Canis lupus familiaris: one gene and its partners. The protein of the gene in region 1 interacts with the protein of each later gene in a biochemical or structural test. Links are inferred from orthologs where the notes say so. Each region holds a gene or a part of one and is shown in the gene's direction. Other genes may lie near its edges. The genes, in order: PRKN, UBE2Z, MFN1, MTOR, PARK7, UBE2V1 and CCNE1.

The links.
Region 2: the proteins of PRKN (region 1) and UBE2Z form a complex in vitro, tested with the Homo sapiens proteins (2 studies listed by BioGRID). The link is inferred for Canis lupus familiaris from reciprocal best matches to the Homo sapiens genes PRKN and UBE2Z.
Region 3: of the proteins of PRKN (region 1) and MFN1, one has a biochemical effect on the other in vitro, tested with the Homo sapiens proteins (3 studies listed by BioGRID). The link is inferred for Canis lupus familiaris from reciprocal best matches to the Homo sapiens genes PRKN and MFN1.
Region 4: of the proteins of PRKN (region 1) and MTOR, one has a biochemical effect on the other in vitro, tested with the Homo sapiens proteins (2 studies listed by BioGRID). The link is inferred for Canis lupus familiaris from reciprocal best matches to the Homo sapiens genes PRKN and MTOR.
Region 5: the proteins of PRKN (region 1) and PARK7 form a complex in vitro, tested with the Homo sapiens proteins (2 studies listed by BioGRID, with this or other methods). The link is inferred for Canis lupus familiaris from reciprocal best matches to the Homo sapiens genes PRKN and PARK7.
Region 6: the proteins of PRKN (region 1) and UBE2V1 form a complex in vitro, tested with the Homo sapiens proteins (4 studies listed by BioGRID). The link is inferred for Canis lupus familiaris from reciprocal best matches to the Homo sapiens genes PRKN and UBE2V1.
Region 7: of the proteins of PRKN (region 1) and CCNE1, one has a biochemical effect on the other in vitro, tested with the Homo sapiens proteins (2 studies listed by BioGRID). The link is inferred for Canis lupus familiaris from reciprocal best matches to the Homo sapiens genes PRKN and CCNE1.

The regions. Positions count from the first base shown.
Region 1 is NC_049222.1:50,440,298-50,443,436, reverse strand, and holds the end of PRKN (E3 ubiquitin-protein ligase parkin), read left to right. Parts: intron 1-374; coding exon 375-487; 3' UTR 488-2,639; downstream 2,640-3,139. UniProt on the Homo sapiens protein: Functions within a multiprotein E3 ubiquitin ligase complex, catalyzing the covalent attachment of ubiquitin moieties onto substrate proteins. Substrates include SYT11 and VDAC1.
Region 2 is NC_049230.1:25,087,709-25,091,208, forward strand, and holds part of UBE2Z (ubiquitin-conjugating enzyme E2 Z), read left to right. Parts: intron 1-1,934; coding exon 1,935-2,122; intron 2,123-3,500. UniProt on the Homo sapiens protein: Catalyzes the covalent attachment of ubiquitin to other proteins. Specific substrate for UBA6, not charged with ubiquitin by UBE1. May be involved in apoptosis regulation.
Region 3 is NC_049255.1:12,955,818-12,959,796, forward strand, and holds the start of MFN1 (mitofusin-1), read left to right. Parts: upstream 1-1,179; 5' UTR 1,180-1,338; intron 1,339-1,636; exon of another isoform or gene 1,637-1,655; intron 1,656-2,059; exon of another isoform or gene 2,060-2,306; intron 2,307-2,803; 5' UTR 2,804-2,808; coding exon 2,809-2,920; intron 2,921-3,896; coding exon 3,897-3,979. UniProt on the Homo sapiens protein: Mitochondrial outer membrane GTPase that mediates mitochondrial clustering and fusion. Membrane clustering requires GTPase activity. It may involve a major rearrangement of the coiled coil domains.
Region 4 is NC_049223.1:84,296,674-84,300,173, forward strand, and holds part of MTOR (serine/threonine-protein kinase mTOR), read left to right. Parts: coding exon 1-53; intron 54-759; coding exon 760-992; intron 993-2,689; coding exon 2,690-2,890; intron 2,891-3,500. UniProt on the Homo sapiens protein: Serine/threonine protein kinase which is a central regulator of cellular metabolism, growth and survival in response to hormones, growth factors, nutrients, energy and stress signals.
Region 5 is NC_049226.1:62,058,891-62,063,093, forward strand, and holds the start of PARK7 (Parkinson disease protein 7), read left to right. Parts: upstream 1-1,403; intron 1,404-2,331; 5' UTR 2,332-2,354; coding exon 2,355-2,444; intron 2,445-3,828; coding exon 3,829-3,930; intron 3,931-4,203. UniProt on the Homo sapiens protein: Multifunctional protein with controversial molecular function which plays an important role in cell protection against oxidative stress and cell death acting as oxidative stress sensor and redox-sensitive chaperone and protease.
Region 6 is NC_049245.1:37,205,139-37,208,638, reverse strand, and holds part of UBE2V1 (ubiquitin-conjugating enzyme E2 variant 1), read left to right. Parts: intron 1-1,609; coding exon 1,610-1,758; intron 1,759-3,500. UniProt on the Homo sapiens protein: Has no ubiquitin ligase activity on its own. The UBE2V1-UBE2N heterodimer catalyzes the synthesis of non-canonical poly-ubiquitin chains that are linked through Lys-63.
Region 7 is NC_049222.1:122,573,046-122,576,545, reverse strand, and holds part of CCNE1 (G1/S-specific cyclin-E1), read left to right. Parts: intron 1-2,824; coding exon 2,825-2,970; intron 2,971-3,089; coding exon 3,090-3,225; intron 3,226-3,500. UniProt on the Homo sapiens protein: Essential for the control of the cell cycle at the G1/S (start) transition.

The DNA.
Region 1 (3,139 bases):
GTGCCTCTGCCTCTCTCTCTCTCCCTCTCTGTCTCTCATGAATAAATAATATATATTTATATATATAAAAGATATACATTATATATAATATATAAATATTATAAATATATAAATTTATTTATATTTATATATTTATATATATTTGTATGTATATTTATATATTAATAAAATATTTAACTTATTTATTTATATAGAATTTGTCCTAGATGGGAGTGGTGAGCTCTACCCTCACTCCTTTCTTAATAGATGCCCTAACTTCAGAATGCCCTGGGATTGTGGGTGACATTCCCTTGGAAAGTCCTTTCTTAGACCAGTGTGTTGGGGCGGGAAGGATGTTCTCCAGATGTTTGCCCGTGTCTTTTGTCTGCCTGCAGGAGGATGCATGCACATGAAGTGCCCACAGCCCCAGTGCCAGCTGGAGTGGTGCTGGACCTGCAGCTGTGAGTGGAACCGGACCTGCATGGGGGACCACTGGTTCGACGTGTAGCCCTGCGAGCGGGCGCCCCACCGCCAGCCAACTTGGAAATGTACAGAGTCCCACAATTTGCTGCTCTTTCTCCAAACTCTCTCTCTTTCTCTCCCCCCCTCCGCCACATGCACACACACACACACACAGAGACACGCACGCACCCCTCAAATCCCTTCCCAATCCACAAAAACAAAGTTACAGGAGAAGCTCCTGGATCCCTTCCTTGGTGCTCATGAAAAGCAGCGCGAAGTATTCTCAGGCGTCAGCCCTCAATACACAGACCCCAGAGCGCAGATGGAAAGTGCACTCCACCTTTTGTATGGATTGCCATTCTCCTGTGAATTCCAGTCAGGCTGGATTTAAGGACAGAAAGATTTCTCAGGTTTCATTTCCTGCATTTGACCTTCAGCGAAGATTGGGAAGAGGCCATCAGGGACGAAATAGATTGGAGAGACCGGTTTCGGGGGTTCTCTGTAAAACCGAGGGCAACGGGTTCGACAACCCTATTCCTGATTTTAGGAGCAATGCTCTTATTTAAATTTTCAGAGAGTATCTGTTCCCAAAGAGAACCCCAGGCAATAGTCAAACTCTGTGTTTATCCCTAAGGATTCTACCTTTATATATTGCATCGGTGTAATATCAACTATGCATAAATCAGCTTGTCAACTAGTGAGAAATTATGAAAGTTAATTTGAATGTTGAAATTATAGAAATCAAAACTTCGTGTGCTTTCATTCCATTTAATTATTTGAGACCTCAGAAAGAAATTGTTTTTCTGAAAGTATTACAAAGTCTATAATTTGATTTTAAACCTTCATTTTGCAGCTTGGAAGAACAAGCTAGTATATCTGGCTTCACTGTACATTTAATGGGTAAGGTGCCTATAGAGGAGACGTTTTTGGAAATGGCTTTATAATGATTCTCAACGTTAACAAAAGTGCAGGGTGTTAAGTGCAGAAGTCTTTAAAGCAGGAGCATGGCGAGGGCTGGCAAAATGAAACCAAGACCGATTCTATCCCAGGGGGGTCAGTGCTCTTTCTGCACCTGCTCTGTCCCCCATCTGCATGCCCCAGGGGCTCTGCTCCCTGAATGGGTTCCTCCAAGAGGAGCTCTTCTCTAGAACAGTGGAGTCACACTAGAATATTTCCTCACATTGACATGGATTCAAATGGAGTGTTCACCAAGTTTTCATCTTTTTTTTTTTTTTTAGACATTCACAACACATCAAAAAAAGATGTGTTTACACTATGCAGCAAACCTCATCTTCTTATAGCACAGTGTACAGATGAAAACCTATAACCACCATCTTCTGTTCTCATTGTCTGTCTTTTCGGGGCTTCTCTTTGTAGACATAGCACCAGAAATCCTTGCTGGGGAAGGAGAGGTAAGGACCTTAGAATATTGCCTGAGAATGTCTGTCCCTCTATCCCTAACCATTCTTCTAGGCTCTGTTTAGAAAATCCAGACTCATGTCAGGAAGCCTTAAAGATCATAGCAAGGGAACGGAGAGCCAATATCTGAGCATTACTGACAATCCCAGCAAATAGCTTCTGACACTGACCTGACAGGACAAATCAGATGGCTCCCTGCCATATGGAACACCCACTATTTTATATTCAGTATAACTTTTGGGTTTAGTGATGCTGTCGTGATTGCTTCCCTCCAAACCGGCATGTTGTGTTGGGTGCGTGAAACCCAAACAAGGTTTGCTCTCATGGGTTCAGGCATGATAGAAATTTCTGGGGCTCTCTGCTCCTTTCCTGGTGGTGGTCTTTTTTCTTTTCTTTTCTTTTCTTTTCTTTTCTTTTCTTTTCTTTTCTTTTCTTTTCTTTTCTTTCTTTTCTTTTTTTCTTTTCTTTTCTTTTCTTTTCTTTTCTTTTTTTCTTTTTTCTTTTCTTTTCTTCTCTTTTCTTTCTTTTCTTTTCTTTTTTCAGACTAGAACACTGAAACAAGTTAAGAAAAAAACAGCCTCTGTAAATGAATGGGAATCACAAACCACTATAAATGAACACGTTTGAACATGAAATGTGTAACCAAATGTGAATATATCAAAAGAATAGAAATAAAATCTTTGCAGAAAAATCTTTATTTTTCTCTGAAATGTGTAAAGGAATATTTGACAACTATGTCTAAGGCTGTACTCAAATTATCAATAAAAGCATCAAAAGAGCTTTGGAGTCCATCTCTGAGGGTAGATTTTCAGTAAATGCTCAAAGTGTGGGAGGGAAGCCCAGGACACCTCGCTCCAGGAGCCTCCCTCTTGCCTGAAGGGATCGCCTGGTGAGGCAACAGGCATTTTTATCTAAAAAGCAAACCATTCAATTAAAAAAATCTAACTGTTACTTTCCTGCTTTATCAGCAAACTTTTCTAGTAAATGTTTAAAACAGAAGTTTGAGTCAGGAAAAACTACAAGGATTTTCTCTGTAATGTCATTTCAGAAAAGCTCAGTGACTTTGCATTGCTCTCAACGTGGGTGTGTTGACACTGCATTTCTTTAGAACTGTTTCAGTGGCTGAAATGAGTGACAATGAGCCTGTGTTTGAGCAATCTGGAATGGAACATTCTTGGAGAGCTCCTATCCATAGATTAGGAAAGCCACACACCATGAGGGCCCATTGGTGCCAAACACCACAGGAAATACCCTAAAGAAACACAAAGTTTCTAGGAAT
Region 2 (3,500 bases), on another chromosome or scaffold:
CACTCAGGGATCCCCTAACTGGTTGTTTTTGTGGGGTTTTTTTGTTTTGTTTTAAGATTTTATTTATTTATTCATGAGAGACACAGAGAGAGAGAGGCAGAGACATAGGCGGAGGGAGAAGCAGGCTCCGTACAGGGAGCCCGATGTGGGACTCAATCCCAGAACCCCAGGATCATGTCCCGAGCCAAAGGCAGAGGCTCAACCACTGAGCCACCCAGGCATCCCTAACTGGTTGCTTTTTTTGTTTGTTTGTTTTGTTTTAAAGATTTATTTATTTATTTATTCATTCAGAGAGAGAGAGACAGGCAGAGACACAGGCAAAGGGAGAAGTGGGCTCCATGCAGGGAGCCTGATGAGGGACTCGATCCCAGGTCTCCAGGATCACGCCCCGGACTGCAGGCGGCGCCAAACCGCTGCGCCACCGGGGCTGCCCAACTGGTTGCTTTTGAATGTCCTTTCTACTCCAAAGACCATTCTTGTCTTGTCCTCCATACACAAACACAGAGAAGGCTGAAATTCCCCTGGCATAGATGCCTAGGCCTCTCTGTCATTGAGCGCTCTACCCTCAGAAGTGAATTTTTCACTTAAACTAATGTTGGGAAGAAATCAAGATTTCCTAAATCTAATATTGTTTAAATGAAAACTCTTCCATGGTTTCAGATTTCTTACGGTAAAAGTTCTGACTTTGTAGTGTAGATATGTGTATTTTGTTTTGAATAAGTTTCCCTTAAATTGATTTTTTTCTTTTTTTTTTTTTTTTTTTTGTGGTTAGAAATATTTTTCCTGGGACATCTTGTCCAGTCAAGTATCAGTGTTAATATGCTAGTCCCTAGGGTCCCAGAATTGATGTCCTGTTGATGCCATTTGAGCTTGCTATTCCAAATGCCTGAGGGCTGAAAGATATTCCTGGGTGCCACCAAGGGCAGAGTAGGGACTGAAGCATTGGATTGCTGGTCCTTTTTCGTCTTGCTGCTTAAATTCTGAGCAGACTTAAGTGGCTAGCAGCCTTTGTAGGAGAAGAAATATAACGGGGTCAGTTCAAGTTCTCTTCCTTTCAGGAGGGGAAAGCTTGTTCAGTGATCCTGGTTGGAGGACAAAAGTTGAGTGTTCTAAGTGCTGCCGATTTTTTTTCTTTTTAAGTTAACCAACAGTGTTGGGAAGATTTCTGGTGATGGTCTAAGGGCTCCAAATGGACCCTGAGTTTTCCCCGTTTTTTGTTTTTTGTTTTTTTTTTTGGTATCTTTGACACAGCTGACTGCTGCCTGAGCTACATCCTCCCACAGTAGGCTTGCTTCTTTGTGGAGGCAACAGAGACCCTAGGCCTCCATCACAACCCTCAGCTCTGCACTGTAAACTGGCACTGTGGCCGCCAATCCCTTTGCTCTTTTCCGTTCATCTTACTCCCCTTTGTGCCTCCTAAATGGAGGGTGGGGTTGCCTCAGACACATGATTAACCTAGGCAAATCCAAACAGACATGCTCAGTAAAAGTATATATTAGATTCTTAAAACTAAACGGGCTAGGATAATATTTTACAGTTGCATATTTTAGTTGGTGCAGTGGTGTTCCATGTATATTTGTTACATGTAACACTGATCAGGGAAGTCTTAAAAAAAAAAAAAAAAAACCTATGCTGTCACAGGGAGTTTTAAGGGACATTCAGGGTGATTTTTGACTACATTCAGTTTTCATCTTGGGCTCTAACTTTAGACGTTAACCACTGAGTAAGATGCCACTCCACCGTAATGGGATTTCTTAAAATTCCAAACATATTTATTAGTATGAGTGAGTACAGGCTGTTCATTCCGCATGGTGAGGATATGGAATGATATACTAGATGAAGGTCCTGCTGCTGGTGTGGGTAGCAAGTGGAAGCCAGGAGGGGTTGGGATGGGACATCACCTCACAATTTTGAGATGGGGTTTTATTTTGCAGATTCATGCATTGATCACAGGCCCATTTGACACTCCTTATGAAGGGGGTTTCTTCCTGTTCGTGTTTCGGTGTCCGCCCGACTATCCCATCCACCCACCTCGGGTCAAACTGATGACAACGGGCAATAACACAGTGAGGTTTAACCCCAACTTCTACCGCAATGGGAAAGTCTGCTTGAGTATTCTAGGGTAAGAGGAGACTTCTAAGTGGCCAAGTTGGTTGTTAGCAAATAATTACTCTAGGCCAGCCTTTATCAACCGGGGTTCCTCATCTGAACCACAGAACCCAGAAAATGATTGGAGTGACTGTTTCCTCAATTTTCCCCAGGATGGTACGTGATTAGTATCATTCTAAGTGCAAAAGAGAGAAGTTCATGTATGACCTACAATGGATGCCTTAGTGAAGTGGTTCTCCCTGACCAGCAACAGCACTTGGAGAGCTTGTAGCCCTACAGATTCTGAGGGTCCACCCTAGACGTACTGTATCAGAAACTCTAGGGGAGGGCTTAGCAATCTGTGTTTTACAAGCTCTCCCGGTGATTTCTGGCGCATACTTCAGCTTGAGAACCACTCCCTTAGGGCATCAGGGCTTCATTCTCTCCTGAACAGGTTGAGAAAGGCTGCAGATCTGTGCCATTTAAGATTGTGGGTGTCTTGTTTCTGAGTCTCTCAATGAGTGGCTTTGGAGGCGGCGGTGGTGATGAAGATGATCATGATATTTTAACAACTGAATGAAAAACGTCTAAGGTTGGAAATCATATCAGATAAGAAATCCAAGTTTCAAGTACATTTTGTTTCTGGGTGCTACTGAGATTTTGCTTCATGCGGTTCTCACTCGCTCCCTTTTAACTGCCTTTGGGGGCTAAAAATTCAGAATGGAAACAGTGTCTTCTGGATTGGCGGTGTTTGTGTGGTCTGAGTTTCCCTGGGGCAGAGGACAAGTGCAGGTTGAAGTTGGGAGAGTTGCCAGAACTGGTGATACCTTTTTCTTTCCTGTCCAGCATATTTCCAGGTGTGTGTGGGGAAAGGCAGCTGACCCAAACTGGAGACAGGAGTTATTTTATTTATTTATATTTTTAATCTCTCAGACCCAGGGACATGTTCTGTGGTGGTGGCAGTGAGGAAGTCCTTCAAAGGAGGTTGTCCTTAAAGCGGTCCTTTATGTTGTTAGGGTTTTTATCTGGTAGGATAGTGGTAGACATAGCCCACAGTGGTGAGGATATTCACTTGTTGTTTCTACATGACATTTGTTTGTGATAGCGTTTTTGTACTAGGTTCTCCATTGGGCCAGTATAAAACGATTTTGAGCAAACATCAGCTCACAGTAGAACCAGGGAAAGTAAGACGGCGGGGTAGGAGTAGCAGAAGTGTTTTGGGTGGAAAATAAGCTACCCTGAAATTGAACATTAACCACAAGAACTCACAGGATAGAAAATTCCCATGTGTTCCTAGTTGACTCTTCCATCAGCCTCAGTCCTTTCCTTCCTACTTAGAAAAAAAGATTGGGGCTGCCTGACAAAAGAAATGTAATGAAAATTTACATTGTTGGCTTGACTCCCGGAGTATG
Region 3 (3,979 bases), on another chromosome or scaffold:
TTACAATAAAATTCAAACTTTTGATCTTGGCTTATATGACTCTACACCTACCTACCTCTCTAATCTTCCCACATTTTCTCTCCCTCCCTGCATCCCAAATACGCTGGCCTTTTTATCATCCACCATACCACTCTCCTTCCTATAGGCCTTTAGACTTCCTGTTCCGTCTGTGTTGGGCATTCTTCCTCCACATAGTCCAAGGATTGGCTTCCTGAGAAAAATCAAAGAAATATCTCCCCAGAAAAGATCACCCTATGTGGTTCAGTTCTCATTTTTCTTCAGATAGTCTGTCCCCATTGTCATTTTTTCCTTTTTAGAGTACAAAGCACATGCGAAACGATCTCTTATTTCTTTTGTTTTCTTGATATTCATCGATTCTAATAGAAAGAACATCAGTATTTCTTTAATGTAGCTCTAACTGTATACCCAACAGTGTTATAAGCACTTCACACGCTATTGACCCGTTTAATTTTCACAACAACCCATAACGTAGGTATCATTAGAATGCCAGTTTGATAGATGAAGGGCCTGAGGGTCAGAAAGATGAAGTGACTTCTCTTGCTAAACTGTATCGCACTTATGAGCTCTGGAATGAAATCTCCAGACTCTCTATTAATTAAGCCACGTACAGAACAGCAGCAGCAGCAGCTCTTCAAGGATGCTAGAAATGCACGCTCTCAGGCCTCATCTCCGACCCAAAGAATCAGAATGCGCAGGTTAGCAAGATTCACAGGTCCTAGAAGTATAAAGTTCGAAGAACACTCAACAATGTATCATTTTCCTAAGTCTCGCTCTAAAGTAATTCAACGAGCGCACACGCGCGCACACACAGGGCTGTACTCCAATCCCAGGAAGCCAATCGCACAACAGAAGATAGTGGAGCGGCCAAAAGGTTCTCCTTTACTGGGGATCGTGGGGCAAACAGAAATCCCTTTTGTCTGGCAGCCCTAACCCCACCTCATCCCACTTCACCCCACCTCCTTTTAAGATCTCTCTCACTAAAGTGGGAGCTAACTATGCCTAAACCAGGCAAACGTCTGGAGACTGTGATGGGCGAAGAGACGGGAGGCAGACGTAAGCGATGGACGCAACCGCATCCCAGTAGCTTTCCCGAGGGTCAACCGGCCTCCTGCCCTTAAGAAAAATGGAGGTCGGCGTAGACGCACTTCCGGCCACGGAGCCAAACAAGCTCGGGGCGGAGAAGAAACCGGAAGTGACCGCCCCCTTGGCGCTCCTCCCACCTCCTCCCTGCTTCCCAGCGTCTCCCGGGAGGATGAGGAGGCCAGAAGGCTGAGGCTGGCCTGCGGTTGCCGGGTGACGGGTCGGAGCCGGGACGGTGTGAGTGCTCGCTGCGTCGGCCGCGGGCCGGTTCGCTTCGCTCGGGGTGACCTTCGTGCGGCCGGGGGCGGGGGCGGGGGGGCAGTCGTGCGCAGGAGTTCTGTGACGAGGCGCCGCCGCGGCGCTCCGGGAAAGGAGCTCCGAGCCGGTGTGCGAGCCCGGCCGGCGGCGGGGTCGAGCCCGCGGAGCCCGCGAGGCCGGAGCCCCGAGGCTGAGGAGCCTGTGCGGCGGGGCTGGCGCAGCCGGGGCGGCGGTGGGTCGGGTCCCTGGCTCTGCGGGGGGGCTCCGGCGCCGGGCGGCGGAGGCCTGTCCCCAAGGTGGGTAGGTGCCCACACGCGGTCCAGCCGGGCCCTTGCCCTCACCCTGCTCTTCCCACCCGGCTCGTTCACCGAGTCCTTTCCTGACACTCCGAAAGGCTCGGCCTTTTTTAATGACCGCTCCGCTCCATGCCACATGCGTACGCACCGGGTGTAGACTGGCGTGTAATCGTTTTTTTTTTTTTGGGGGGGGGGGTGTCTTTTCCATGAGAAGTTGCCAGAAAATAATTTTTTCCCCCTAAACTTAACATTCTTTAAAGTTCTTGGCACTTTGGCTGGAAGCGTTAATTCTCGCCTCAAGCCTTGTCTGCTTATTTGTTCGGATGAGAACTACTTTCCTTTTTAAACTTCGGTATTAACATGATGATCCTGGAACTTTATTTCCTCAGTCTCTGTATGCACCTCCACCCACTAGAGCTCCAGGTTGAGAAACTTCTTGGCGAACTTGCTTCTGCTCGCTGACCCAGTTCTTAAGCGTCCTGTGCTGTCGCAGTTTGCCACGATGAGTTTCATCTTCACCAAAGGAAGATAAAGTAGAAATTGCAAACAGGATTTTGTCCAATAGAGTTGACTTATTTTAATGGAGTACCACCGGAAAAGTTGTCTTTAATTGCCCGTCTAAAACACTTCTCAAAAAACAATTATCTGAAAGTATGTTGGCCGTTTAAGTTTATTTCACTGGGGAGTTAATTTGGCAGGCAGCTGTCATTAATTTGCATGTCTTTATCATACAGTCTAACTTGTGCTTTTCTTTTTTCAACTTTTTTTTTTTTTAATTTTAAGGGCAGGGAGAGGAAGAATCTTTTTTTTTTTTTTTCTTTTTAAGATTTTATTTATTCATGGGAGACACAGAGACACAGGCAGAAGAAGCAGGCTCCATGCAGGGAGCCCGACGTGGGACTCCACCCTGGGTCTCCAGGATCACGCCCTGGGCGGAAGGCGGCGCTAAACCGCTCAGCCACCTGGGCTGCCCCCAAGAGGAAGAATCTTAAGCAGATTTCCCCCTGAGCATGGAGCCTGACTCCGGGCTGGATTTCAGGACCCTGAAATCAGAACCTGAGTGGGAACCAAGAGTCAGATGCCCAACCATCTGTGCCACCCAGGCACCCCTAATTCGTGCTTTTCTAACTTTAATTTTCTTCCCCCAGTAACAATGGCAGAATCTGCTTCTCCACTGAAGCACTTTGTGCTGGCTAAGAGGGCAATTACTGCAATCTTTGACCAGTTACTGGAGTTTGTTACTGAAGGATCCCATTTTGTTGAAGGTTAGTTTCTCCAAGTCTTAAAAATAATAAGGTTGAAAATATATGCAGGGGCTTTATCCTTTCACCCGTAGTTACTGAACTTATGCATTCAGTGTAACGCGTTCAGTATATAAGGCATTGCAGTATATTCCAGGAGAGATGCCCTAACAAATAAAACCCATTTCTGCCTTCCGACGGAGGAAGACTAAATGGTATTAATAACCTAAGAAATAAATGGTTGTATGAACGATAGCACTAAGCACTTCGTTAATTATGCATGTAATCCTCATATCCACGCTGGGACAGATTTTAATTGCAGTTATTTTAAAGGTGAAACCAAGGCACAGAAAATTTAAGCATCATGCTTGTGATCAGTTAATGCCCGGACTAAAAAATCAGGCAGCCCACATTTAAGCCATTATACATTATCTCCTCCCCGAGTCAGCAGTCAGCTTAGATCGCAGACCTATCTTATCTTCTCAAATGAGGCTGGAATGTGGTGGGGAAAGGGCAAAAGGGAGTGTAACTGCTCAGACTGTGTTGGTGAGGAATATCTTACTGGGGAAATACTACTTTGGAGGCAACTTGAAATCTTTTCTGGTTCTTAATATCACATGACTATTAATGGTACAGTGAAAAGGGAGGGATTCTGTAAACTTCTAAAGTGACAGTGGGGAAACATTCGGTAGGTTAGTAGAGTCAAACATTTTTTCTTGTCCTTCCTAACCGTACCTCACCAGATTTTTAGCTTGAGGATAGCCCCTGTAATTTTTTAATAATTTTGAAATTTTGGGGGCAGGATTCTTACGACCCCCTTATGGAACAAGGCATTCACCTTTTACCAAATATTCAGATAACTGTGGCATTTTTACTTTTCAAATGGCCATGTGAATATAGAGCAAAGCCAAAATACGTGCATAGTCTTAGATATTCTATTGTATAATCAATTTAATACTCATTTTTTATCACTTTTTCTAACACCATTTTAATTTTGTAGCAACATACAGGAATCCAGAACTTGATCAAATAGCTACTGAAGATGATTTGATAGAAATACAGGGTTATAAAAACAAGCTTTCC
Region 4 (3,500 bases), on another chromosome or scaffold:
ACTGGTTTCCAGCTCAGATGCCAATGAAAGGAAAGGTGGCATCTTGGCCATAGGTAAGGACAGAGTCTCTGCTGACAGTTACAGCTGAGAATAAAGGGTGGGTCACCTTTGTGTCCACTGCACCTGTGTCTGCTGCATACCGATGCTTCATTCTTGCCTATTTAAGGAATTTCTTAAGGAGGCTTGTGGCTTTCAGCGTGCTTATTCAGATATTAATTCTAACAACAGTCCTGGGATGTGGGCAAAGCTGGTATTTTCAGATACAGAGTCTCAGAACTGTGACACAGCTTTTCTAGGGCCACAGAGTGGCTGCGCTGAGACTCAAAGCCAGCTTTCTTTCTGCTACCCTGTGTTGCTTGTTGCAGGCTCTGGTGTCTCTGTAGAGCAGTCTGGTATAGCCAGCCGGGCTCACCAATGGAAAGGGAGAGGTGGGAACAGTGATAAAAAGCATGTGGTTTTCAAGTCCCAGGGACTGGTCTGGTGAATTCTTATTCATTCTTAGTTTGCTTCCTTTTTCTTCTTGGGAAAACAAATTTTAAGTACCAAAATGAGGTTATTTTGCTTTACGTAAGTAGTTCTGGCACAAATATCAAATCTGTTGCTTTTAAGTGAAAATTATCTGCATCCTTCCCATCTGGGAGTTGCCTTCTGTGCTCAGGGTAGAAGGAAGGGGTCATTTGCCAGCCTTCCTTTCAGGGCAGGGCACGCTCCTAGACAGGATGTGCCTATCCTCACCTTTTGCCTTCCTCTCTTAACCAGCCAGCCTCATAGGAGTGGAAGGTGGGAATGCCACTCGGATTGGCAGATTCGCTAACTATCTTCGGAACCTCCTCCCCTCTAATGACCCAGTTGTAATGGAGATGGCATCCAAGGCCATTGGCCGCCTTGCCATGGCAGGGGACACTTTTACGGCTGAGTATGTGGAGTTTGAGGTGAAGCGAGCCTTGGAGTGGCTGGGCGCCGACCGCAACGAGGGCCGGAGACACGCAGCTGTGAGTGCCTGTGGCGGGGGTGAGGGTGTGGGGGGCACAGCTGGCTGGGGAGCCGTGGCGCCGTGTCGGGGTCCTCCACACAATGGCTCAGGTCGCTGAAAGGCAGACAAAGGAGGGGACACTCCAGGCAAAGGCACTGTGCTTCTCAGGGGCCTTTGGTTTCGTCCTGAATCCCTTTCTCTTTTTGCCCTGAGCTCCGAACCTGAAGGGCAAACTTTAAGTTCTCTTTTGTTGCTTGAGAGGCAGCCCTAAGTGCAGCGCTTACCTTGATGTCTAATTTTCTAGAATCAAAATTGCCTCCTAAACAGAAGGCACACCTCAGCCATAGGCAAGGGAAAGAGCCGCGAGCCAAAAGGCTTCCAAAGCCCCAGACAACTGTCCGCTCTGTACTTTCCCATCAGTGTCTTCGTCAAGGTCTCTGTACGGTACTGAAGGAATACAGAAGGACGAGGAGGAGGGGAGGCGCGGGGCAGCAGGGCCTTCAGTTCCTCCAGTGGAAGCAGTGGCCTGCCTCCTTTCAGGCCTTCCTTATTTATTTTTTTACTTATTTGTTTAAATTTATTTATTGATTTGAGAGAGAGAGAGAGAGAATATGTGTGAGCGTAGGAGGCTTGCTGGAGGGAGAATGAGAAAAGGCTTAAGTCAACTCTGTGCTGAGTGTGGAGCCAGTGGCAGGGCTCAGCCGTAGGACCCTGAGATCAGCACCTGAGCCGAAACCAAGAGCCTGATGCTTAATCAACTGCACCACCCAGGCGCCCTTTTTGTCTGTTTTTTAGGCATTTGTTGATTGGTTGGTACCTAACCCAAACTTCCTTTTTCCCCATTGGCTGTTTTTCACTTGGGGATGTAGGAGCCTCTTATCCTCTTCTTGTAGTGCATCTCTACTGCTTTGGTTTTTTTGTTTTGTTTTTAAGTAGGCTCCACACCCAATATGGAGCCCATTGTAGGCTTGAACCCACGACCCTGAGATCAAGACCTGAGATGAGATCAAGAGAGACTTAGTCACCCGAGCCACCCAGGAACCCCAATATCCCCACTGCTTTTTGAGGTTCATCCCTGGAAAAGGCTGGTTTGAGGGACAGACTTTCAGGCTGCAAGATGAGGGAGAGTCTGTCCTTAAGGGAAAGGATCTGGGAATGTGTGTGCTGAGGATCAGAGCGTCATTTGGATCTTTGCTGTGGGCCCCCTCTTTAGGAGCCAGCCCCACAAGGAGGGGTCCCAGTACTGGGGGAGCGATAGACACCTGAAGTCTGCTTCAAGTCAGCTTTGTCCTTCCTAAGTCTGAAGCTTGAAACAACCTCTGACCTCTAGTTTCTTCCACTGTCAGATGAACACGAAAGCAAGATTAAATATTGAACATTCATTCAATAAATGTTTGTTGGATACTGCCGTGTTCTGGCGATGCTTTTCGGCTGTCAGCAGGGCAGCATACAAAGTCTAAAACACATCTGCCTTCCAGAGCTTATGTCCTAAGATGACAAGCATCCCGTGTTTATAAATACTCCAGTGTAACGAACACAGATGTTTGATCAATTTTGCTTTACTCCTAGGTCCTCAGAGATTCCTAGCTGGAAGGGTGGACAAGTGTGCTCTTTTCCTGATACATATACACGCCCCGGGACAACAAGAGGCCATATTGGGATAGAGCTAAACTCTCTGATACAGATGAGGGTCCTCCGTGTGCTTTTTCCTCCCAGGTTCTAGTTCTCCGTGAGCTGGCTGTCAGCGTCCCCACCTTCTTCTTCCAGCAAGTGCAACCCTTCTTTGACAACATTTTTGTGGCTGTATGGGACCCCAAACAGGCCATCCGTGAGGGAGCTGTGGCTGCCCTTCGTGCCTGTTTGATCCTCACCACCCAGCGTGAGCCGAAGGAGATGCAGAAGCCTCAGTGGTATCGGGTGAGCACATGCCGCGATCCCATCCACCTGCAAAAGCACATTCACAGACAGAATTACCTGGCTGAAGTGGGGGCCCTTGCCACAGAGCGAGTGTCACAGTCGCATTGGTCTCCAGTGATTTCTTTCTTTTTTCTTTTTTTAAAGATTTATTTATTTATGATAGGCAGAGAGAGAGAGAGAGAGAGAGGCAGAGACACAGGCAGAGGGAGAAGGCAGGCTCCATGCAGGGAGCCTGACGTGGGACTTGATCCAGGGTCTCCAGGATCACGCCCTGGGCTGCAGGCGGCGCTAAACTGCTGCGCCACTGGGGCTGCCCAAATAAATAAAATCTTTAAAAAAAAAATGAAAATATGATACAGTTAAGCTATAACTTACTGCTTTCTTATGAACAATTGTAAGAGTTCGCAGAGATATTAAAATATAGAAAAGTGGGTATCGGAGAAGCAGCAACATAGTGATACTGATTTAGAAAGGGCTGGTTCTCTCTCCTTCAGTGTCATAAGCCCTGTGCCAATTGCTGCTGCCAAGAAAACCTAACCAAGAAGCTTGTCCCACAAAGACAGCTCTGACTGTGGCATTGGAGACCGGCGTTCTAGGCTTGGCTTGGCTG
Region 5 (4,203 bases), on another chromosome or scaffold:
TTCTATACAAAAGATGTAAAACAAAGTATTTGCTGGTGCTTGCGTGAGGAAATCCTGGAAAGATGCTCCGGAAACGACTATAAAGTTACCCGCAGGGAGTCAGGGAGCGGGGATTGTGGAAGAGAGTGGGGACAAGGATAGGAAGGAGTCCATCGGTTCAACGTTAACTTTCAGCACTTTGGTTTTTTTTTTGTTTGTTTTTGTTTTTTTAAGATTTATTTATTCCTGAAAGACACACACAGAGAGAGGCAGAGACACAGGCAGAGGGAGAAGCAGGCTCCATGCAGGGAGCCCGACGTGGGACTCGATCCCCGGCCTCCAGGATCAGGCCCTGGGCTGAAGGCGGCGCTGAACCGCTGAGCCGCCCGGGATGCCCGACTTTGGTTTTTGAAATGGGTAAAAGTATCAATATTCAATGCAAACTTTTAAGAACAAAGTGTGGGATTCTGACTTAAATGTCACCAAGTACTTATCAGGTCCGGGTGCTCAGCAGTGCTCTAAGCCTGTGGGTGCAGCAGCAGCAGCAGCGCTGGGATGTTAGGGAAAAAAACAACTTTGAGAAACCATCACACGGGCAATCACCGCACGCAAACCCGTGCTGGGAGCCGCGCAGGATCCCGAGGCCCGGGCGCCCACCGTGGGGACCCAGGATGGGGAAAACCTTGAAGTCCTAACAGGTCGGGGGGAAACGAGAAGGCGCTCCCGGATAGGGACGCCGAGAGTGCGGGAGAAGCGTGAAGGTGCAACTCCACGGAAACGTCTGTTGGCAGCAAAGCGCCGCAGCTCCCGAGGGGACCGCGCGCGGGCAGGCTGCGGTCACAGGCGGGTTAACGCCCGTGGGCGCCAGCGGCGGGCCGGACCGCGCCGACGGGGGACGGGAGCGTTCGTGAGGCTGCGCGAACACGCGGGATTCTCGTGGTGCCGGGTGCACCAAATGGAAACATCCCCAGCTGTCCAGGGAGGATGCTAACCCACGTGGGTCCGGGAGGACGTGACGCACGTGAGCGAGCGCCACCAGCCTCCGCCGTGCGCAGCTGGGGAGGAGGCGGGGCCTGGGCGGCGTGCGTCTGCGCAGTACCGAGGGGGGCGTGGTTAGGGGAACGAACGAGCAGAAAGAGAAGCCGGGCGATGTGCGTCTGCGCAGTGCAGGGCCTGGGGACGAAGGGAGAACGAGGAGGGGTCTGCGCGACGGGCGTCTGCGCAGTACCGGGGGAGGGGCGGGGCCGAACCAGAAGCCGGGCGGCGTGCGTCTGCGCAGTGCGGCGCCGAGGGCTCGCGCTCGGGGGGCGTGCGTGCGTGCGTACACACGTACGTCCCCGTTTAGGCCGGTTTGGGTTCGGTAGTCTCCGGCGCGGAGTTGCTGCCGACGGGGCCGAGGTGCCGGGGCTGTGGGCAGAGGCGAGGTTCGGGTCGCTGCGGGGGGAGCTGCGGGCGGCGAGGGGGCCACGGGCAGCCCGGAGCGGGCTTCGGAAGGGGGCGCCGCAGGTCGCAGTCACGCCGCGCCTGCGGGCGGGCGGCCTCGGGCCCTCCGGGGTTGTGTGCGTGGCGTCCCCCCAGTTTGTAACTCGTCAGGGCTCTGTTTGCTGACGGGGTTTCCTTAGCGTCTGTGTTGCGCGCACAGCGGACTCCCCAGAAAGAACAGGCTGCAAACTATTGGAGCCCCGCTTGGCAGCTGCCGTTTACCGAAGAGCCAAGAGCAATGAGGGTCCCGTTGCGTTGAATTTACTGGGGGAATTCCCACCTTTCGACATCATTTAAAAATATATATATGGTGAAATATTTAACACTGTTAACTTTCAAGAGGGTTTTGTGCAGTTATTGGAACTTCAAAGAAAATCCCCTCCAAAAATCGCAGACTGTGTGTAGCTTTTTGCCCATGAAATTTAAGTTTGGACGTTTCTCTGAAAATAGTGCTTCCGAGAATAAGGCTTATCTCCCCGCATCGTGTGAAATGCAAGACCCACGTGTGTGTGTTTTAGAAAGTACTGGTTGCAGTAAGTTTTGTATATTGAGTTAAAACAAAACAAAATAAAAAACATGGTCAGAGAAAATCCAAACGGTACTGACACGTGTTAGCAACCCTGCTGTGTTTTCATCTCAAAAATAACAGCAGTTGAAATTCTGTGTAAACCACTGTTAACCTTAAAATGCTTTTTTTCACGTACTGTTTTGTCTCTCAGGATCTTTTCCTTAGGAGGCACTTGGTCACTTTGCTTAAAAATGTTCCTGAACTTGAGATTTTTTTTAAACTTGAGGTTTTTGACTATCTTAGGGTTGCCATGCAAGTGTTTTGAAAATCTTGTTTTTTTTTTTTTTCTTCTCCCAATTAAGTCTTTTAAAAATACAACATAAAAATGGCTTCGAAAAGAGCTCTGGTCATCCTGGCCAAAGGAGCAGAGGAGATGGAGACAGTCATTCCTGTAGATGTCATGAGACGAGCTGGAGTAAGTCCTCCCAACATTTTCCAGCCCTCCCCCTTCTCAAACATTTTTGGGTTTTGAAGGCATTTTTAATAATATTCAGTGTACTTTATAAAATATTTCAAACACAAAAATGCAGAGACTATATAACAATAAATGCCTGTCTATTGTCCGCATTTAATACTTGTTAACATTTTGCCAAATTTCTTGTAAATATTCCTCTTCTTGAGGAACAGATGCTTTAAAAAGAAATAAAGCATTGCACAGCCCTCTTTGTAAATTTCCTGGATACTATTCCCCTTCAACGGCAGGGATAACTCTGTTCTCTCATTAATGTGTATCCATCCCATGGATGTCTTCAGAGTAGTGTTACACTACAATTACATTTTACAGTTACAGTTACATCTATTTCTCTCTCTCTCTCTCTATATATATAATATATATATATAATATGTACATATATATCCCTAGTGAACACGAGTAGTATTGACTGATGCTAGATGATGCTCATCTAAGCATCTGAACTTGCTTAAGTCCTATAACAACCTTATGAGTTATTGACCGTCCTCGTTGTACAGTTGAAGAAACTAAGGCACAGGGACACTACATGAAGTGTCCATGTTGTTGTCTTAGTGAGGAGAAGAGCCAGTACTTAGACCCCAGCAGTCTGGCCCCAGAGTCTGTTAGCCCTTCATCTCTCTGGTTCTCGTAAATGAAGACACCTCTAGATCTGGTTTTTTAATTTAAAATTGCTGCTTATTGTTACGTTGCATGAATATGCTGCTGTCTCTCCATTCTTTTGTTAGGGTGTTTCAGGACATTGCAATACTCTAATATTCTTGTACAGGTTTCCTTATGCAAATGTGTGGGAGGTTTTCCTGGTTTTTATGCCCAAAAATGGAATTGCTTGGCCAAAGGACAGCCCATAGTTAGCATTACCAGATTTTGTCCAGTGACTCCCCAGAGTACCAGCGTGTGGGCCCACCAGCAGTGTAGGACAATCCCCATTTTTCCAGGACTAGCTCTTGGTTTTATTAACTTTTTGCAAGCTAAAGTAGTATTTCATTGTTCTAACTTGTCTTTCTATTTTAAGGAAATACCATGAGATTTAAATAGCAACAGTAACTTTGCAAGATGGATTATTAGCAGGATGTTGGCCCAAACCAGAAAGCTTGTGGGAGAAAGGACACTAACCAGGCAGGGGACCAGGATAGTATCTGTAAATCAGGACTGTCCCAGACAAACTGGGACAGACCTAGTTATTAAATATATTTAGCTAACTTAGTAGCATAAAGTCAGCATGGTTTCATTGCAGTATTTCCTGCCAAGTTATTTTAAAACAGCAGTTGTGAAAATGTTACTCTAAATTTATGTTTCAATGTTAAATGTGATGACGTCTTTCTCTTAGATTAAAGTCACCGTTGCGGGTCTGGCTGGGAAAGACCCAGTACAGTGTAGCCGAGACGTCATCATTTGTCCTGATGCCAGTCTGGAAGATGCAAAAAAAGAGGTTTGTTCTCCATACATGGAATTATTCCTTCCTATGGCTTCTCTATCAGGTTCTTGAAATGTCTTTTGATTATATTTCAGGCTGTTAGCACAGACTTATTTTAAGGAAGTTACTTTCCTTGGATGTCTTCCCCACTATAATAAGCCCAGGGAAGTCAAGGACTCTGTATTCAAGGAAGCTGGCAGTTCCTGCTGCCTGTGCTTGGTGGTGGGACACTTTCATCAGTGTTCATCTGGCCTCAAAGGCCCTTTTGCCTCCTGTTATAACTTCATT
Region 6 (3,500 bases), on another chromosome or scaffold:
ACTCCTCTGTTCAGAACTCCAGTGGCTTCTCAGGTCAGTAGTAGTTGGAGTCCTTAACGACCCACTGCTCTTCCATCTCACTGACTCAGTTTTAGCTGAATTAGGATCTTGCTGTTCTTTGACATCCCAGGCAAAGTCTTACCCAAGGGTCTTAGCATTTGCTGTTTCTTCATTGGAAGACCCCCCTGAGCTGTGCATAGGTCATGCTCCTTCATGTGAGGTCTTAGTCATGACATCTGGTCTCAGTAAGGCTTTCTGTGATCACTCCATTTAATGTTGTAGCTCTTCCCCCATTACTCCCTGCTCCAGAACTCCCAACAGCTGTCCTCCTATATATATATAGTTCGTATTTTTGTTTTGTCATTTTATGTTTCCCACTAGAAGGTAAGCTCCATGAGGACAGGCATTTTTGTTTTGTTCACTGCTTATTCCCCATTGCCTAGGAAAGTGCCTGACCTATAGTGGATTCTCGGGTATTTACTCCAGTTGAATGAATAGTAGCGGGAGTCCCACCTTAGAAAACACAAGGTATACTGGGAACACCTCCCAGTCTGGAGTCTCTCCAGTGGGTTTTCCTCCACGGTTACGTGGTAAGTGCTGCTCGCTTCATGGAGTTTGGCCAGTTGGGGGCTCAGCATTGAAGGCAAGAGAGAGCTTGTAACTTGTCTGAATCTGAGGGGTTTTTTCCCCCAGAGGTAATAGTTCAAATGCCAGGGAGGGAGGTGGGAGGAGGGGAGAGGCAGGCAGGATTGGTTGGGAGAGCATCCCTGGGAGAGTTACTTGGTGCCCAAGCACAGGAAGAAAATTGCTCTCCCTGCCCTCCCACAGCCTCGTCCCCTACCTGGCCCCAATGCCTCGGCTCTGTTCTGGAAAACACCCAGAAATGGCTCAAGCCTCAATCTGAACTCAGGTATAGTAGCTTGAACCTATGAGATGTGTTTGTGTGATTCCTTCCGTGAGCTACTTGCCAGGCTTTGGAATTTCAGAAACAAGTAAATCAGGGAACCAGCCACCCTCCTTTGGCTTTTTCATAAGAGAGAAACTGTTTTGAATAGTTGAAAATTTTATCCTTGGTGCCTTCAGTTGACTCTTAGCTGATCAAAAGGACACCATTTTTATTTTATGCAGCCCTGGCGGCTGTTCCTCCTGAGGTAGTTTGAGTGTCATTCCAACAAAATGCACACACACCCTTAACCTCAGAAATGTGTAATAAGAATGAAACAAAAGCAGTAGCCTCTTCTCTCCTGAGGCACTTAATCCTCATGATACCGATTTTGGTGGTTTTCATCTGTTCTGGACCCAAACTGATCAACATTTTGACATGTAAACTCTTGAAATTTATCAAAGCTGCGGGGCCGGGGGGTGGTGGTGGTCCTTCTAGGCTTGGTTCAGTGGTCACATCACCTGAAACAAAACCACGTGCCCCTTCCGTGTGGGTGTGCTGGTCGGTACTAGAAGCTCTGTAAGCAAGTTGGAGGGATGACAACTTTGAGCCATTTTTTGCATGTTAGCATCTTTATTTCCACGTAGTAATAATGAGCAGCTAGATCCAGGCTTACAGGTTCCCCTGGAGTTGCTAGTATCTTGAATTTCTTTCCATTTATTTTAGGAGTAAAAGTCCCTCGCAATTTTCGACTGTTGGAAGAACTGGAAGAAGGCCAGAAAGGAGTAGGAGATGGCACAGTTAGCTGGGGTCTAGAAGATGACGAAGACATGACACTTACAAGATGGACAGGGATGATAATTGGGCCTCCAAGAGTAAGCGTCGAGCTACGGCTATAAATGTCAATGTCTTAAATTCACTGTGCCTCCTTTTAAGAAATATTAGCCTTATCACGGAAAAAGCTCACCAATGGTATATTTTCTGAAATGTGGCTATTCTTTTTTGACCAGTTTCAGTTTATATATTTGAACCTCCTCTGATGCTGTTTAATCCCTCTCATGGTAAGCAAAAACCTGTTTAGACTCATAGTGTGAATTTACATAACATGTAGACAGGGAGGTGTGAGGTCATTACACCCTCACGGCTAGTTTAGAACAGACTCTTGGGCTTATCAAATAACAAGGCCCCAGATACAGTAGCCAGCGTTCCGAAGACAGCATCCAAACAAACTTTGGAACGCCTTCATGGTTGTGGTTTTCATTTACAGTTTCCCAGGTCTGCCACACACTCATGTCCTAATTCATCAGGCCATTCAGCAAAGGCTTATTGCCTGCCTGGTTGGCTCTGGTCTCTTCCAGGCACTATGAGACCCAGAGGCCTTTGCAAAGAAGACAGAGACAACAGGGATGAGAAAATTGACCTCTCTTTTAGAGCTTTGTGATTTGTGAGAGTTCCCAGGCTTTGTAGTACCAGCTAACTTTTTAGTGTACATAGTAAAACCTCCAAGAAATGTCATTGAATTCTCACAAGAACCTGTTGTTAAGAGCTACTATTGTGTTGTCACATCCAATTTTACAGGTGACAAAACAGAGAAGTAAAATTACTTGCCCAAAGTCACATAGCTGATAATTCCCAAAGGGGTTCTGAGTCTAGACCCTGTACTCTTAACCCTATGCTCCATTATCTCCTGTCTGTTTAGATTTTGAGTTTTCATGTGTTCCCATTATAGAATTTTCCAGAGTGTTAAGTAGTAATATGAGGTAGGAGTGAAGAAATAGATTCTCATAATGTGACACTTGTTTCAGACCATGGGAGATTCCGTCTGAATGTAACAGGACCTTTCCTGTGTGTGCTCAAAGATGGTGGCAGCCAGTCATTCTTTTCACTGTGTGCACAGGCTCTGCACCAACTCTGTGGGAAGGAGAAAGACATAGGATGTGGCCCTGGCTGAAACAAGGAAGAGGGTCATGTTCATTAGGTGTTAGGACAATCTACCGTTCATCTTGGACTATCGTAAATACACACAGTGAATGACTGGCTTTGCTATTTAACGTTGCTTCTTGAGTCATCTTTAACCCTGTGGTTTTGTTTTTTGGGTTTAAAAATATATATATTCAATTTACTGTTTTTTACTCATTTCTTTATCTTTTTAAAAAATCTCTGAAAACTAGGATTTATAAATCTATTAAATACTGAAGAAAACCTGATATAGAAAACTCGTTTCTTCATGGAGATCATTTCTTGCTGTTTCTGAAAGCCCACTGTATGGTGATGGCTTCCTTCACTGCATTTCTTCTTTTCCTAAGAATGGTTAGGTTTCTTGAGGGTGAAAACTATTCTTCCCTCCTCCTTGCTCTCCAGAGCACCTGGAAATGACTCGGAATGGGGCAGTTGTTCAATAGATTTGTTCATTAGCGGACTGATTTTCAGGTTCTAACAAATTAAGAATGGACCAGTGTACAACATTGCGAATACACTAAATACCACTGAATTATACACTTAAACAAATGAGCCACCAAATTCCATTGAAAATATTCTGTTCTACCTACAACACCTTAGGTTACCCTGCGTTTCAGTTTAACTCTTTCCACAGGGGGCTTGCTTAGTGAGTGGCTAC
Region 7 (3,500 bases), about 72 Mb from region 1:
CCAACTAGGTTAGCAGTGGGCAGCACGTCGCTGTGTTGGGCACTGAGCAACAGCTGTGGCAGCTGGTTCTGGCAGAGTGAAGGGCTTTGAAGCAGTGGGTGTGCAGGAATAGTTGTCGTCCCTGCACGTAGACCCTAGAAATTAGCAATTCTGGGGAGATCGACCTAATATCGAACAAGGGGTTGATGATTTCTTTCTCATTAGATGAAGAAATACTTTCCTTTAGGGAAGGAAATAAGACATTCCTTTCTTTTCTTTTCTTCTCCTTGAAAAAACAAAAAGCAAACAAACTTTAAGCAGGTTGATTTTTATGAGCCGTGGTAAAATGGCTCTCCACTTTGTGAAACTCGGGATTGCTTATTTTCCCAGCTGTTTTGGGAATTGAAATTTCTGAGAGTGAAGCGAAGGCATCCATATCCACTTGTTGGAGTAGTTTGTTCTCGAGGAGGACCGGAGCAGTGCTAGGGTGCCTAAAATCGGGCTGTGGGCCTGTCCCCAAAGTGTGCACATTGATAGCCGTGGTATTTAAATACTCCTATCATTTCCCACTAACGAGAAGGAATTTTCCTGGTTGTTCAGAGATTAAGGACAACAGGTTTCTGTACGTTTTGTAGAGCAGATAGCTTGAAGATTGCCCATCTATCTATGGAGCACTCGTTCTGGTTTTCCCCTGTGTAGATTCATGAAGCTAGAAGTTTGGGGTAACACAATTATCACACGGAATTTTTGTCAGGAGTTCTAGTTCAGCCCAGTACAGTGGCCTGGAGCTACTTGTGGCGCATTGTGCTAAACTCCTTATAACTCCTTCCTCAGGACACAGAGAACCTTTGAGTGTTACCTTAGGCCTTTCCTAATCAAAAGACTACCCTTTTATCTGAAATCCATTCAGCATATCCGTTTTGTTGTTTAACTTTTTGCAGGAGACCCACCTTTTTAATTGAAGTGAAATCCTGGACTTTGTAGTAGTTACTTCTCAGCACCTGATTCTACATAGGTAGTTCTGTTCTTAGTTAAAAGTGGCATGAGGGGTCGGGGGTGTTTAGAAATAGTCAAAATTGGTGTCTTGCTCTTATCCCGGTCCTTCCTAAAGTCAGATGGATCTGGCCTCTTTGAAACCCAGCGTACACTCGAGACTTCGACTTCATTATTGTGCCTCACGTGCTGGATCCTAAAGGGTCCAGGTTTCCGAACCACTTGTGGCTTGTGGGTCATCCAGTCTGTCTATGCACTGTGGTTTAGGAACTGCTGCCATTTTATCCTCAAAGGCTGCTCTCAGCCCTTTCAGCCATCTGGCTGTAGAGGGTGGCACCCAGCTTCTGCCTTCACAGCTAGAATTCATTCTCGAATGAAGAGCAGCTTGAAGCAGTTGTAATGTGACTCGTTTTGAGTCAAGGAAATGCTACCAGCACATGAGACTAGAGCTGGAAGGGGAGGTTGCCCTTCTGGAACAGCTGTTGGCAGGAGTTGTCATGGTTAATTTGCATGCCCAATTCTTTGCACCCTGGGTGGAGAAGAGCTTTATCCTGCTTTGCTCTCCTCAGCACACTGAAAGTGCTCTGGCCGCCTCTGAAAGTGGCCGGTGTGCTGTGCGCGCCCCACTACCGTATCCTCCAGGCAGCACCTGGAGCCCACATCCCATGCTCATTTCTAATTGTCCCATTTCTTCTCTGGTCAGCCTTAATGAACTGTCTGCTTTAAAACAAAAGGCCAAGAGTCTCAGACTTCCACAGGACTTCCGTGCTGGCGGGATTGTTACTTGCCGCACTGTCCACAAAACCACTCTTACGACTCAAAAAAAAAAAAAAAAAAAAAAAAAAACAGAGCAGCTTGACAAAGAAAACTTTGTAAATGGCAAAAGGACCTTCTTATTTTCCAAATACTGAAAATCGAATAAAATTAAGTACCTAGAATCTTTGAAAGGAAAGCATATTGTTTGCGTTTTTAATGATGGTTTATTCCCTTATCAGTTCTTGGATCCTCATTCCATGCAAGACTTTGGGGGCAGGATTCAAAGGTCTTCAGGGGTATCTGGCTTCTATCTCCACGGACTTCTTAGTATATCCTGTGACCATTCCTGGATTTGGTTTTAACTAGGCAGATATTCTTTTTGTTTTGTTTTGAGTTAAGGAAAACAAAAGGTCCTCGTTATGTAATATATTAGGTAGTCTTGCAACCAGGAGATGTCACATTTGATGGTTTTACGTCTTAAGATGGGGACACTAAATACAGATGGTAATTTACATTTTTGGTCTTTACGCTTGTGAATGTGCGGTGCGCATGTAAATATACTTTTATTGGAATTCTTTCACTTTTAAGAAGTTTTGGTAGATTAGTTGTACCTGTTAAAAAAAAACAAATCTTTGAGTTGTGACCAAATAATCCCACAGCATACCTCAGAGGTTATGCCCAGTTTCTTACCGAGCTGCAGGTGGATTTGTATAGGTGGTGGTGGTGTCGGTTTTTGTACTCCTAAGAGCTGTTTGCATTTTGTCTTAATCCCTCCTGGGTCCATCTTCCTGCTCAGGTACTGGTTTGACGGCGACAGTGTGGAGGATAAAATGCTACTGACTTTGTAGTCGTCTTAGATACTTACTGCATAGACTCCTAAGCCAGTGGCAAGTGAAACGAAAGCTTGGAGTCCTTACTGTGGCTTTTACTTACTCGTTCCATCTTCATCCTCATTTAGGCCAGAATAGGTATTTAGGCCTGGAGATTGCTCTCTAGTGTGAAGATATTTTCTGTTTTACTGGCTGTTCTACAAATCATGAATGTACACATAGCTGGTTCCTATCAAACATTTAAGAATGTGTGTTTTCTTCTACAGCCTTGGGACAATAATCCCGCATGTGAAAACCCCTGCTCCTTGATTCCCACACCTGACAAAGAAGAGGATGAGCCAGCATACCCAAGTTCCGTGTGTGGACCGCAGAGCTTCATGCCCTCCAGAGCCTCGCCGCTGCCTCTACTGAAGTAAGTTGCCTGCCACGTGCCTTCCAGGTCTTTTGCTCCTTGTGCACAATCTCACCAAGTCAGTGTGGACGCATACTGACGCCTACTTCTTGTCTTTCGCTTGGTTTTGTTTCTTGTAGCTGGGCAAATAGAGACGAGGTCTGGAAAATTATGCTAAATAAGGAAAAGACATACTTACGGGATAAGCACTTTATGCAGCGGCACCCCCTCCTGCAGCCCAAGATGCGAGCAATTCTTCTGGATTGGTTGATGGAGGTGAGCTTGAGTCTTCCTGTCGACTGGAAGCATTGACCACTTCTAGAACCTTTGACGACCTCTTTGTGTGTCTTATACCCCATTGACACTTTTCTGTGTCTCCAAAGTACCACTCTTTTGCTTGGGTTCTTCCGTAGAAGAATTTCTGAAGTCTCTTTACCTCTTAGATATTTTGAGGTTGGCATTTAATTTTTTTTCTTCCAAGTTCAAATAATTACAAAAGTTCTCTTTTCCACTGAACTGTAAATATTGATATTTGGTCTTTAATTAAATTG